3 linked regions of the Ovis aries genome follow. The protein of the gene in region 3 interacts with the protein of the main gene of each other region in a pairwise test. Links are inferred from orthologs where the notes say so. Each region holds a gene or a part of one and is shown on either strand. Other genes may lie near its edges.

What was found.
Region 1: the proteins of EXOC1 (region 3) and SH3BP5 interact in a two-hybrid assay, tested with the Homo sapiens proteins (2 studies listed by BioGRID and IntAct). The link is inferred for Ovis aries from reciprocal best matches to the Homo sapiens genes EXOC1 and SH3BP5.
Region 2: the proteins of EXOC1 (region 3) and SRGAP2 interact in a two-hybrid assay, tested with the Homo sapiens proteins (2 studies listed by BioGRID and IntAct). The link is inferred for Ovis aries from reciprocal best matches to the Homo sapiens genes EXOC1 and SRGAP2.

What each region holds. Positions count from the first base shown.
Region 1 is NC_056054.1:273,378,160-273,381,908, reverse strand, and holds the start of SH3BP5 (SH3 domain-binding protein 5), read left to right. Parts: upstream 1-1,494; 5' UTR 1,495-1,622; coding exon 1,623-1,769; intron 1,770-3,447; coding exon 3,448-3,510; intron 3,511-3,749. UniProt on the Homo sapiens protein: Functions as a guanine nucleotide exchange factor (GEF) with specificity for RAB11A and RAB25. Inhibits the auto- and transphosphorylation activity of BTK. Plays a negative regulatory role in BTK-related cytoplasmic signaling in B-cells.
Region 2 is NC_056065.1:4,059,957-4,063,605, reverse strand, and holds part of SRGAP2 (SLIT-ROBO Rho GTPase-activating protein 2), read right to left. Parts: intron 2,888-3,649; coding exon 2,707-2,887; intron 1,967-2,706; coding exon of another isoform or gene 1,954-1,966; exon of another isoform or gene 1,250-1,953; coding exon 1,103-1,249; exon of another isoform or gene 1,004-1,102; coding exon of another isoform or gene 826-1,003; exon of another isoform or gene 1-825. UniProt on the Homo sapiens protein: Postsynaptic RAC1 GTPase activating protein (GAP) that plays a key role in neuronal morphogenesis and migration mainly during development of the cerebral cortex. Regulates excitatory and inhibitory synapse maturation and density in cortical pyramidal neurons.
Region 3 is NC_056059.1:72,041,188-72,044,836, forward strand, and holds part of EXOC1 (exocyst complex component 1), read left to right. Parts: intron 1-3,111; coding exon 3,112-3,295; intron 3,296-3,649.

The sequences.
Region 1 (3,749 bases), on a different chromosome or scaffold from region 3:
AGCAAGGAATTTGAGAACATCTCACGAAGAACTGCTGACTCTCTCGATTTAAAGAACAATGAACAGGTATGACCTGTTCAGAAACAAACCCATGACATACACCTGTAGTACCTCCAGGAGACAGTGAGACTCCTTTGATGGGGAGGACCACGGTGCCAGAGTGTGTAGGGCGGAACCTTGCCCAAGGGGTAACCCCCCAACTTGGCTTCTGATAAAACCAACCATAAACAGGTTTCCCAAGGCTGGTTTTAATGACAAGCTCTCAGAAAGAAGCTCCTTTCCCAAGTAAGTCTGCCCTCCAAACTCAACAGAGCCCACAGGCCACAAGCCTTTGCGTAGAAAGAGCGTACACTCTGCGTTTTTGTAGTGAAAGAGATGTTAGCAACGGCCAGTGGCAATGTCCTTGCCTGCTTTGCTAGGGTCATCTGACCTTCTGCTCCCCTGACATCACAGTGGCCCTGACATTTCATAAAAGCGCAGACATGACCTTTATTTGGATTTTTTTGAGTTTGCGGGGCAAGTTCTGGCGCCCCATTCTGTTCAGGGTGGGCAGGAAACCTCCTCAGTCAGTAACCCCTTGGATGGAGTGTGTCCATTTACAGAGGTTAACACTCACATCTCCTGGAGAAGGCTGCAGGCACACACGCAACCACCCACAACCCTGATCAATGGATTTCCCATGCTTCCCAGCTATTCAGGTAGGGCCATCCCACAACTCTGAAGGCAGAGCTTCTTGGGTGTGGAGCTCTGCTCAGTGGGGACACAGCCTTTGGACAAGGAATCCACCCCTGGAGCTGGAGCCGGCGGCTCCCCTCTGGGTCATTGCGTGTCTGCTATGCGAGCGCGCGTTTCCGTTCCCTTTTCTGGGGATACATTTCTTCAGCTTCACCCAAGGGAACAGAAATGCTTGGAGTGTACACAGGGGTTTGAGTCTTGCAACTGGTCCAAGGTCACGGAGGACAAGCTTCTAAAGGGGACTTCAGATGGTGGAAATACCCCCCGACTTTCCTTCCACGTGCCTCCCTGGTGGCTCAGACCGTAAAGAATCCGCCCGCAAAGCAGGAGACCCGGTTTTCACCACTGGGTCAGGAAGATCCCCTGGAGGAGGGCAAGGCAACACACTCCAGTGTTCTTGCCTGGAGAATCTCCATGGACAGAGGGCCTGGGGGCTAAATCCATGGGGTCGCAAAGAGTCGGACACCACTGAGCGATTAACAATTTCCCTCCACGGAGTCACTTCGCCTTGGCAGAGGCGGGAGGGGGAAGAGCACCCGGACACCCGGCGGCCGACCTTGGGGAGCTGGCGATCTCTTCCGGCGGCTAAGTTAAAACTGGGGTGAGGGCTCCCCCATTTCACCACCTACGGGCTTGCTGGTGGGGAGGTTTTGTGACGGAGCGCGGTTCCCCGGGCGGCCGGGCCGAGCCGGGCGGCGCGGGGCGGGCCGGGGGCGGAGCGGCCGGCGCTGACGGCCGCGGCGGAGAGGGGGCGACCGCGCCCACTTCCTCCGGAGCCCGGGGACCCGCGGCCGCGAGCGGCGCCCAGCTCCCCCGCCCGGCCGTGGCCAGGAGGCTCCGGCGCGACCTGCGGCTGCCAGCCCAGCGCGTCCCTGGCCGCAGCCGGCATGGACGCGGCGCCGAGGCGGAACCGCCCGGAGGGGCCGGCGGAGCGCCCGCCGCCCGCCCGGGACTCGGAGGAGGAGGAGGAGGAGGAGGAAGCCGGGATGGAGCCCGGGCTGGCGGACGAGGAGGAGGTGGACCCCCGGATCCAGGTAGGAGGCGCGGGGGGCGCGCGGGGGCCCTGGCCTCCGCGCTCAGCCCGCCTCGGAGCTCCGGGTGCCTGCGCGCAGGGGAGCGGCCCGGGGAGGCCCGGGGCTGCGGGGGAGAGGCTCCGAGCGCCGAGTTTCGCCCGGTTCCTGGGGAGGCTGCGGTGCCCGCGCGGACGCGGCCCGACTCCATCGCCGGGACTCCCGCTTGGACCCGGGAGATTGCCCGCAGCGTGCCCTGCGCTTGGGGCGGACGTGCAACAAAGAGGAAAGGGGGCGGGGGCGCCTCGCCGGGTTCGGGGGTACCCGATCCGGCTCTGCGCGCCGCGGGCTCTGCGCAACCTCCGGACTCCCGGAGCCCGGCCGGCGGCATAGCGCGCGCCCCCGGGGCGGTGGGCGCCGGCCACCCACCTACAACTGGGGCGGCCGCCCTGCCCGGGGGTCGGAGCCCTCACCTGGCAGAGGGGACCGTCCGGAGCCACCCCCGCCCCCGCGCCGATTCATTGTTAGCAAACCGAAGGGTTTATTGTCACCCCCGGCGCAGCCCTCCGGCTGGCCTCAAACGGTTTAAAACCCAGCTTTTCCTCCTTGTGAGGTCGAGTGTGAACAGAAACCAGGGCCAACTGGTGCGCAAAGCTGACGCGCGAGAAGGCGAGAGGGTTGGCCTGCTTCCTGCGCCTCCATTTCTCCGGGAGATGATTAAAAAGCAATTTCCTAGCCGAGATCTCAAAGTGACAGCTTAACCTCTTCACCCTCTAAGCAAAAGAGCACAGCACACCCCTTTGTAAGACCCATGTTTCCACTCTTCCGTAAGTCACTTGTAACAAACCCTGCTTTTCAGCATGAACTGCGATTTCTGGAGACCTAATTGGTTTTTCAGTGTGCAGATCTATTAAAAAGCTCATTTAACTCAGCTGTTGTGTTTAACTGAATTGTTACGGCAGGTGAGCAAGATAAAAATCAGGGGGAAAAAGCTTCCTATTAGGAATTCTATTAAAATCAGTTTGGGCTACTACATTTTGTTTTCTTGGTAGGGGAATTCTGTTAACAAGATCCTTTGTTTGCAGAGCAAAAAGAGTTAACTTCATGCTGGGCGCTTTTTACAAAATGTTAGCTTGTAAATATTTAAAGGATCAGGATTAAAGCTAGTTTTAGTTGTTTTGTAAACAGCTAGGTAGTTTGAATAATTGGCAGTTGGAAAAGAAAATGCTTTCTACAGAAAAATGCTCAACTTTGGGTGAGTTAATGCCAGAATTCCACCCTTGGTTCGCATGATTTCAATACTTTAGGCTTGGCTTTGTTTTCTTTTATTATCTTTTCTGCAAAATTCCTGCTCTAAAGCAGAAAGCATTATTTTGATTTAGCCTCTAAACCGTTTATAACAGGTGGGTTTACCTGAAGGCACAAACCTGCAATAAATAATTGACCTTCTAAGAAAAGACAAATTCCTGGAACCTTAAGTCATTTTCAAAAAGGCCACTCTCAAGAAAAGGGTTTCAGAAATGCTGACATTCATTTGTTCTTCCAGCCAAGGCACAACTGTTTTCCTTGACAATTAATATGGACTGGTTCCTCTTCCTACAAACTGACCAGAGTAATTTTGCAGATTTTGGGGCTGAGTCACAGTGGAAACCAAAGACAAGCATCCCTGAAGTCTTTTTTTTCTGTCCCTTTTCTTCATCAGGGAGAACTGGAGAAACTCAATCAATCCACGGATGACATCAACAGGCGGGAGACTGAACTTGAGGTACAGAGAGCTGGGTCCTGAAGCGAAGGTGGCTCCTGTCCTGCTGACCCCAGGCTGGTTCATTCTGTTTTAATAGCTGCAGAGTGGTTGCTGGCGTTCCCTCCTTGAAGTTGAGCAATAGCAAGCTGCCCGACAGAATGAATTACACCACTGAGGCCAGCTTGTGGGTGGAACACACGAGGATCCAATTTCACGTGGTTTTTTCATCCTGGAAACTCGGAGGGGCCCAAACCAAGGGC
Region 2 (3,649 bases), on a different chromosome or scaffold from region 3:
GTTTAAAAACAACAAGCATCTTTTATTCTCCTTCCAGTTTCAGTATCCAGAGGCTATGGTTAACAGGTTTTCAATGTGCAAATCATTTCATTCCTCCAAAGCCAGAGGGGAATAAAAGCTGTACATCATCTCCAATCCATATTCATCGGGAGCGCCCTGGGGCTTGTCATCCTGCTGGCACTGGGCCAGGTTTCAGGGTCTGGCGGAAAGAGGTCTGTAGGCTTTGGGACTTGGTGTCTGGCCCCTTGAGATGAGATTAGTTCTCCAATAACCTGAATGTCTCTAGGGGAGGCAGCAGCACACGGGCGTGGAATCCCTCTAGATGGCCAGATCGGGCGTGAGTGGAGTGAAAACCCCAGGATGTTGCTAACAGCCACAGTGAAAGCCGGGGGCCAGAGTTACGAGCCTGCTGGACGGAAGTGGGCATCTGCACAAGGCTAGGAGGGCAGGATCGTACACTGGCTAAAGCGGTAGGGGAAAACGGCAAATTGTTTCTTCTGGTGTGAAAGGGCATGAGGAAAGGGAGCTGGGCTTAGACAGTGAATGAAGATCCCAGGACGGAGCTTTCCGTGGGCGGTGGGGAGTGGTCTCCTTTCCTCCAGGGGAGTGAACGCAGGATGAGGGAGAAACAGGCACACGGTAAAATAAACCACTGGGGGGTAACGTGAACCTGGCTGAAGACACATGAGACTTTGGATTTTTGAACAGACAGGGCCAAGGAAGACGTCAGACTATTATTTGAGTCAAAACTGAAAACGAGAAGGCACCTCTGAGAAACGGCACAAAACTAAGCTGCGTGAAGTGACTGCAGCTTTGGCCAGAGTTTTAGCAGTCAGACGGCCAGGAAGGTCTGAGCCGCTTCGGGGACAGTAGGGTGCACCCGGTCCTCAGGGTGACGGCCGCACGCTGGGCCTGCGGACGGGGTCTGCGGACGTCTCCTCGGCCCTGTCTGCCCTGCAGCAGCCGCGGGCACATGCAAGCGGTCAGGTGGGCAGCGGGGGCCCTACGCACAGCACAGGCATGGAGGGGGCGGTTAGGCCAGAGGGTGAGGCTGGGTGTCGCAAGTCATTCAGGGGAGCAGAAGATGAAAAGCAGAGCTTACTTGTTGATGTTTGCAAGATAAATATCGGCTACATGACCCCCACTGGGACAGCTGGCCCCCGCTCTGGCCGTCACCTTTTCTTCAGGTGGCTCAGAAATGACCTCAATCTCAGACTTGGGGCTGGACCTCTCCACGACACCGTCCTCGCTGGGGCAGGAGGGGCAGGCAGGCAGGGAGGAGGGGAAAACAACAACAACACAAAAAGCAGTGTTAAATCGGCAAGATGGCCCCCCCAACACACACGCGACCCCGCAATGGCTCTGAGGCAGCAGCGACGCCTGGCTGGGCTCGGGGAGCGGAGGCAAGGGGAGCTACGGGCCTCTGGAGGGTCGCTTAAATACAAATAAATAATCCTGCCGAGTCCTGTGGGGTCCTCAGCTCCTCCGGAAAGCTTGGCTAGGGGACACCTGGATTCGCGGCATCTGCCTTCTACCCCTCGCTGCTCTCCTGGGGCCGCGGTGCTGGGGCCACCTCCTGCAGGTTGCGGTTTGTGTGCTCAGGTCCCGAGCAGCGCTGGGGAGGGACAGTCAGCTCTGCCGCGGCTCTGGAGGTGCCGGCGTTGAGGCAGGACCCCGCCACACTCTGTCGTAGCGCGTCCAGCCCCGCTTAGAGCGTCCAAGCCGGTCCCACTTCTCGCCACTGCTCTCCCGGCCCCTCTGGCTACTGATGACAAAGAAAGCCCCTTCTCCCCCACAATTCATCTTCTCTCGGTCCTGCGGTGAAGTCATAATGCTAAATTTGGGAGGGTCCTGTCCGCGCACAGATGGCCACCAGGTGTGCGATGTTATCAACAGGGAGAGGACTTCCCCGCAGAGCGAGCCGGGGAGAGGCTTGGGAGGGCGCAGACTCATTCAGGATATCAACCTTTAAAAAATAATATTAAGGGGAGGACTAAAAACACTGACAGCATCGCAGCCAAGGGGAGTTGGGGGCAGAGGCGGGGCGCTGGGCAGGGGGCAGGTCTGGGGGGCCACGGGGAAAAGCCTTCCTGATGGGGAGACACGGCTTCAGAGAGCGGGACTCCACAGACAGCCCACGCAAGGAAGTCTGTCTGCGATCGGCCCACGGCCCTCGGCTCCCCGGCGTTCCTCCCCGTCCTCTCCCCCGTCTTTCCCCACGTCAACCTCATTAAATGAACTGGGTTATTTCTACAAAGCTGCTTAGGCTACATTTCTACTAGAAAATAGGCTCAACATTTTCATTTACAAGTGGACAAGTGCCATCAGTGACCCAACAGGTTGGGGTGAACACGATTGTTTTTAAAATAGGAAAGATAAATCAAAACGTTTTCCCAACCTGATCGTTCCAGAAAGGAACTGTAAGTGGTCAGATAATTAGCCCTAATTATCACTCATCAGGTATAAATGTGGATGAGCGTGGGCTGGGGGAGGTGGAGGTGTGGCTGGCGGAGGAGTGGAGTGGAGAGACTGAAAACAATTCTCCACCTCTCTGACTCTGGGCACCTTCCCAAGGAAGAGCAGCACTTGCAGACTGTGCTGGGGCCCATAGGGGCTGGCCTCCCTCATCCTCCTGGGCTTCAGAAGTAAGGACTCACTCCCACAGGGCGGCCAGGGGCCCCTAAGGGTGCAGGGCACCCTACGTACGTGTCTTGGACCACGATGTACTGATGGGGGATGAGACCGTCGATGCCGTTGTGCCGGCCTTCCCACCAGTCGTCAGAAGCCCGCTGGTAAAGCAGCAAAGATGCCCCCTTCTTGAAGGACAGCTCTCGGGCCGTGCGGCCCACGTAGTCAAACTTGGCAATGGCCTCGATGGGCTCACACTCTGAGAGGGGTGGAGAGAAGGAAACACAGGCTGCTGGGACTCACACTTGGCAACTGGGTGGAAGAGCCCAGTTAGCTGAACTCACAGTGGTGGGAAGATAAGCTGGTGTGAGAATAAGTCACGGATGATATACAATAGCCAGCAATTCCTGAGCAGATGGTGCAAACCCCTGAAAGCACTCACATGCCCTTCCCTGCCCTTGCTCCTGCTGTTCGCTCCACCTGGAATCCCTCTTTCTCTCTCACCTGCCTGATGAAACACACTGAATCACAACTCAAACATCACTTGCTTCCTCGAGTAACTTCCTTTGTGTTTCCATAGTGCTTTATGCCAACCCCTATCATCGAACCTGCCATATTGTAGTTGTAAGCATTATTTCCTTTTCGGCTGTACAATAACTCCATTAATTTAGAACACTTATTATTGCATTTTAAATAATCTGTTTAGGTTATCCATTCCCCCTACTAGAACATGAACTTTTAGTCTCTATAAAGAGAAAATAACTTACCCAATCAGCTTTCCAAAGAGCAAAATGTGGAAATATATTTTGTGACCAATACATGGAAAAATGCACATGGAAGTGATTTGAAGACTTAACAGAGGTTTACAAAGGCAATGTACTTCTACTTTTGTATAAGCTTCAGCTTCCTCGTCTATAAAACGAGGAAAAGAATAGTGCCTTTTTCATGAAGTCGGCAGTAAGAGTCAATAAATAACCATTTGTAAAAGTGCTCAGAACAGTGAGGACCCAGAGTAAAGTGC
Region 3 (3,649 bases):
TGGATTATTTTAATTGATTAAAGTATTTTTTTAGTTTAATAGCTTTAATCATATTACCTTAAGAATAAGTTGTTCTTATGAGAACTTTTGGCAGTTATCATTTTTCTCCTTCTAATAGGAAAAAAATCATTAACTTTATTTTTTCTGTTAGGTTTTGGAAAGCTCATAGATATGAACAGGATTGGACCAGGTTCTAAAAAGAGTTTCATTTTATTAATGTATTTAGTATTAATATGTAAAAGTAGATATTTATCATCTGAATTATTCTACTGTGTAACCTCTAAGTTAAATCCAGTGCTTGAATAGCCATAGAATAATGAGTGAGTGAAAGTCACTCAGTCATGTTTGAGTCTTTGTGACCCCATGGTCAGTAGCTTGCCAGACTCCTCTGTCCATGGAATTATCCAGGTAAGAATACTGGAGTGGGTAGCCATTTCCTCCAGGGGAATCTTCCCAACCCAGGGATCGAACCCAGGTCTCTCGCTTTGCAAGCAGATTCTTTACCGGCTGAGCCACCAGGGAAGCCCATAGAATAATGAGAGAATAATAAAAATATTAAGGGTAATTAAAATCCACATCATCTTTATACTTTTTAAAAATAATATTTACTGATTTCTGAAAGTTTAAAAGCCATCCGTAGAAACTTAAATGTCACCTCAACAGACTTGTTAACCCTCCTTCCCCACCAAATGACTGCACTGGCATTTGAAATATTATGAAATTTGGCCACTTATCCTCTTCCCTGCCCAGCTTTCTTCATAAGTGATGATAAACCTGTAAGGTCTGATTGTAAGCTGATAGCCAAAAGGAAAATAAAGAATTACTGAAGTCTGAGATAATGAGTCCCATGTGACATAGAATAAGAATAGCTAGAACACTAATCATGAGAACACTATACATTTTTAGAATATGAAGATTTTGTTGCTCTTATCAGTAAAATAAAACTATTATATAAAACTTTAATATAATACCTCTCAATCCAGTTGAATGTAATTATTAAAAGTGTAAGATGTAATAGTATCAGGTAGATGTAGGCATGGGTTCAAATGAAGTGCTTAGCACATTGCCTGGTACAGAATCACTTGTAATGGTGATGATGACAGTAATGAAAGTGAAAGTGAAGTCTCTTAGTCACGTCCAACTCTTTGCAACCCCATGGGCTGTAGCCTACCACGCTCCTCCATCCATGGGATTTTCCAGGCAAGAGTACTGGAGTGGGTTGCCATTTCCTTCTCCAGAGGATCATCCTGACCTAGGGATCGAACCCGAGTGTCCCACATTGTAGGCAGATGCTTTACCATCTGAGTCACCAGGGAATAACAGTAGTAATTAATAATAGTTTGCTGAAGAATGTTCATGTTACTCTCAAAACTGGGAAGTGAAGAAATTTAGTAAAATTTACCTAGACAAAGGTATAAAGTCATGTTTTTTCCTAAATTGCATGTATTTCTAAAAGCTTTACCTTTTGTCACTAAAGGGAGAAGGATGGTTCCTTCTGTTGGTTGTCATCAATGTTTCTTATTTTAACTCAAGTCTTTTCACAGTGTCCAGTCAGTTGTGCATGCTCAGTTAAGTGTTACATGTTTTGGTACTTGGGACAAGATCTGGACCTAAGGCATACCTTGAAAAAGTAGTGAATGGTTCTGTGTGTATTGAACCAAAGAATGAATGTCAGACGACTGCAGAAAGTGAAATAGATAGCATCTGAGTTTAGTACTTTCATCTGGTGGCCAAGCCCAAAGTGTTCTTCAAGGAACAGGGCTAAAAAGATTAGCCTACCAAGAACTAGAGATAAAATTAGAAACATATCAAGTACTACCAAGCTGGACACTGCACTCCAGTACATTTCTTACCTGAATTTACTTTGCTTTTCAGAATTCCCCACACTATAGTGATGTGGTTTTGTACTCTTTAACCTTTGAAAATGATATGATTTGGGTGCCTCTTCCTCATTGTATATTCTTGCCTTCTCTGTCATAGATTAATTAAACATATAAGGATGGGTTTATTTCTGGGTACTCTGTTCCATTGATCTACATGTCTGTTTTTGTACCAGTACCATATTGTTTGATGACTATAACTTTGTAGTATAGTTTGAAATCAGGGAGCATAATACCTCTGATTTTGTTCTTTCTTGAGCTTACTTTGGCTATTATGATCTTTTGTGTTTCCATACAGGTTTTAGAATTATTTGTCCAATTTGGATTGCTTTTATTTATTTTTCCTGTCTGATTGCTATGTCTAGAACTTCCAATACCATATTGAACAAAAGAACAATTACTTTTCTAATCTCTACATGTCGTATGGTTTTCAGGTTATATCCCCAAAATCTCAGCATAATGACGTTTTAGGTAGGAGTTGAAAATGATTCAACACTTTGGCAATGTACTTCTTACCGGGAATAGAACTAGATCCCCTGGAAGTACACAGAATCATAATTGATTATTTTGAACCAAAGTGTCTATATTCTGTATATATGTCTATTTGTACTTTGTATCCATCTTACACAAGTACTTTACTATACAGATTTAGAGTAAATAACTAATAGATACATGGAAAACTATATATGCAAATCCACAGTAGAAATACCTGATCTCCGTCTCTGTTCTCATACCCCCAAAATATAGAACTTCTCTATCCAAACAAATTTTAGGCTGTTGAGATTTGGAAATGGTTGTGGTTCTCAACTTGACTATATAGCCACCAACCAGAAATAATTGTGAGAGATCCTGTGTGTGCTCTGGTATCTGCTCTGCCCCAGAATGGGCAATCACTATATACTTACCTTTTATAAATGATAGAAGTGTTCATTAGTTGTTTTTACTTTAAACAAAGACCTGAGGTTCACAAGCTTTGAGTGCATTTTGTTTTGGATAATTTGGATTTTTTTCCTTGATTTTAGTTTCTTAAATATTATATATGTACTTTTTAATCTCTAGCAATAGTTTTTCTTAGTTATCCATATTGTATTACTCTTTGGTTAGTAAATGTCCAAAATGTTCTAGGTATTAAATTACATCATGCCTTTGTGGTATATATATTTGCTTTTAATTGTATGTTGTTTCTAAGTTGCTTAGCTATTTTTCTCCCTTGCTTTCTGCCTAACTTTAGAGTAACCAAATAAGGCAAATGGAAGAAGTAAAGATCTCAAAGAAGAGTAAAGTAGGAATTCTCCCATTTGTTGCTGAATTTGAAGAATTTGCTGGACTCGCAGAATCAATCTTTAAAAATGCCGAGCGTCGTGGAGATCTAGATAAAGCATATACTAAACTTATCAGAGGGGTATTTGTTAATGGTAAGCTTTTGTTACATTATGAAGAAGTTTTTGGTGGTGGTTTTCCTTATTTCTGGTATTTTTGGTCGGTTTTCATTATTTCTGATTAAGTTAGAAGTTGGGGTACAGATCTGTTCATTATTTTCCATAGTCTATAGTCTTTTTTAAGTTTTCTGAAAGTAAAGATTTCTTAAATTTGAAAAACAAACAGTACATAAAACCCACTTGTATTTACCAGGAACTACTTATGTTTTAGGGTTCATATGGGCTATCACTATGTAAAATTGAAATTCATTTTTTAAACACAAAAATGACCTTGTGGATTACATTTGCATTTTAGCAAGAGTCTTCTCGAGATGATCAACAGTGATGTCT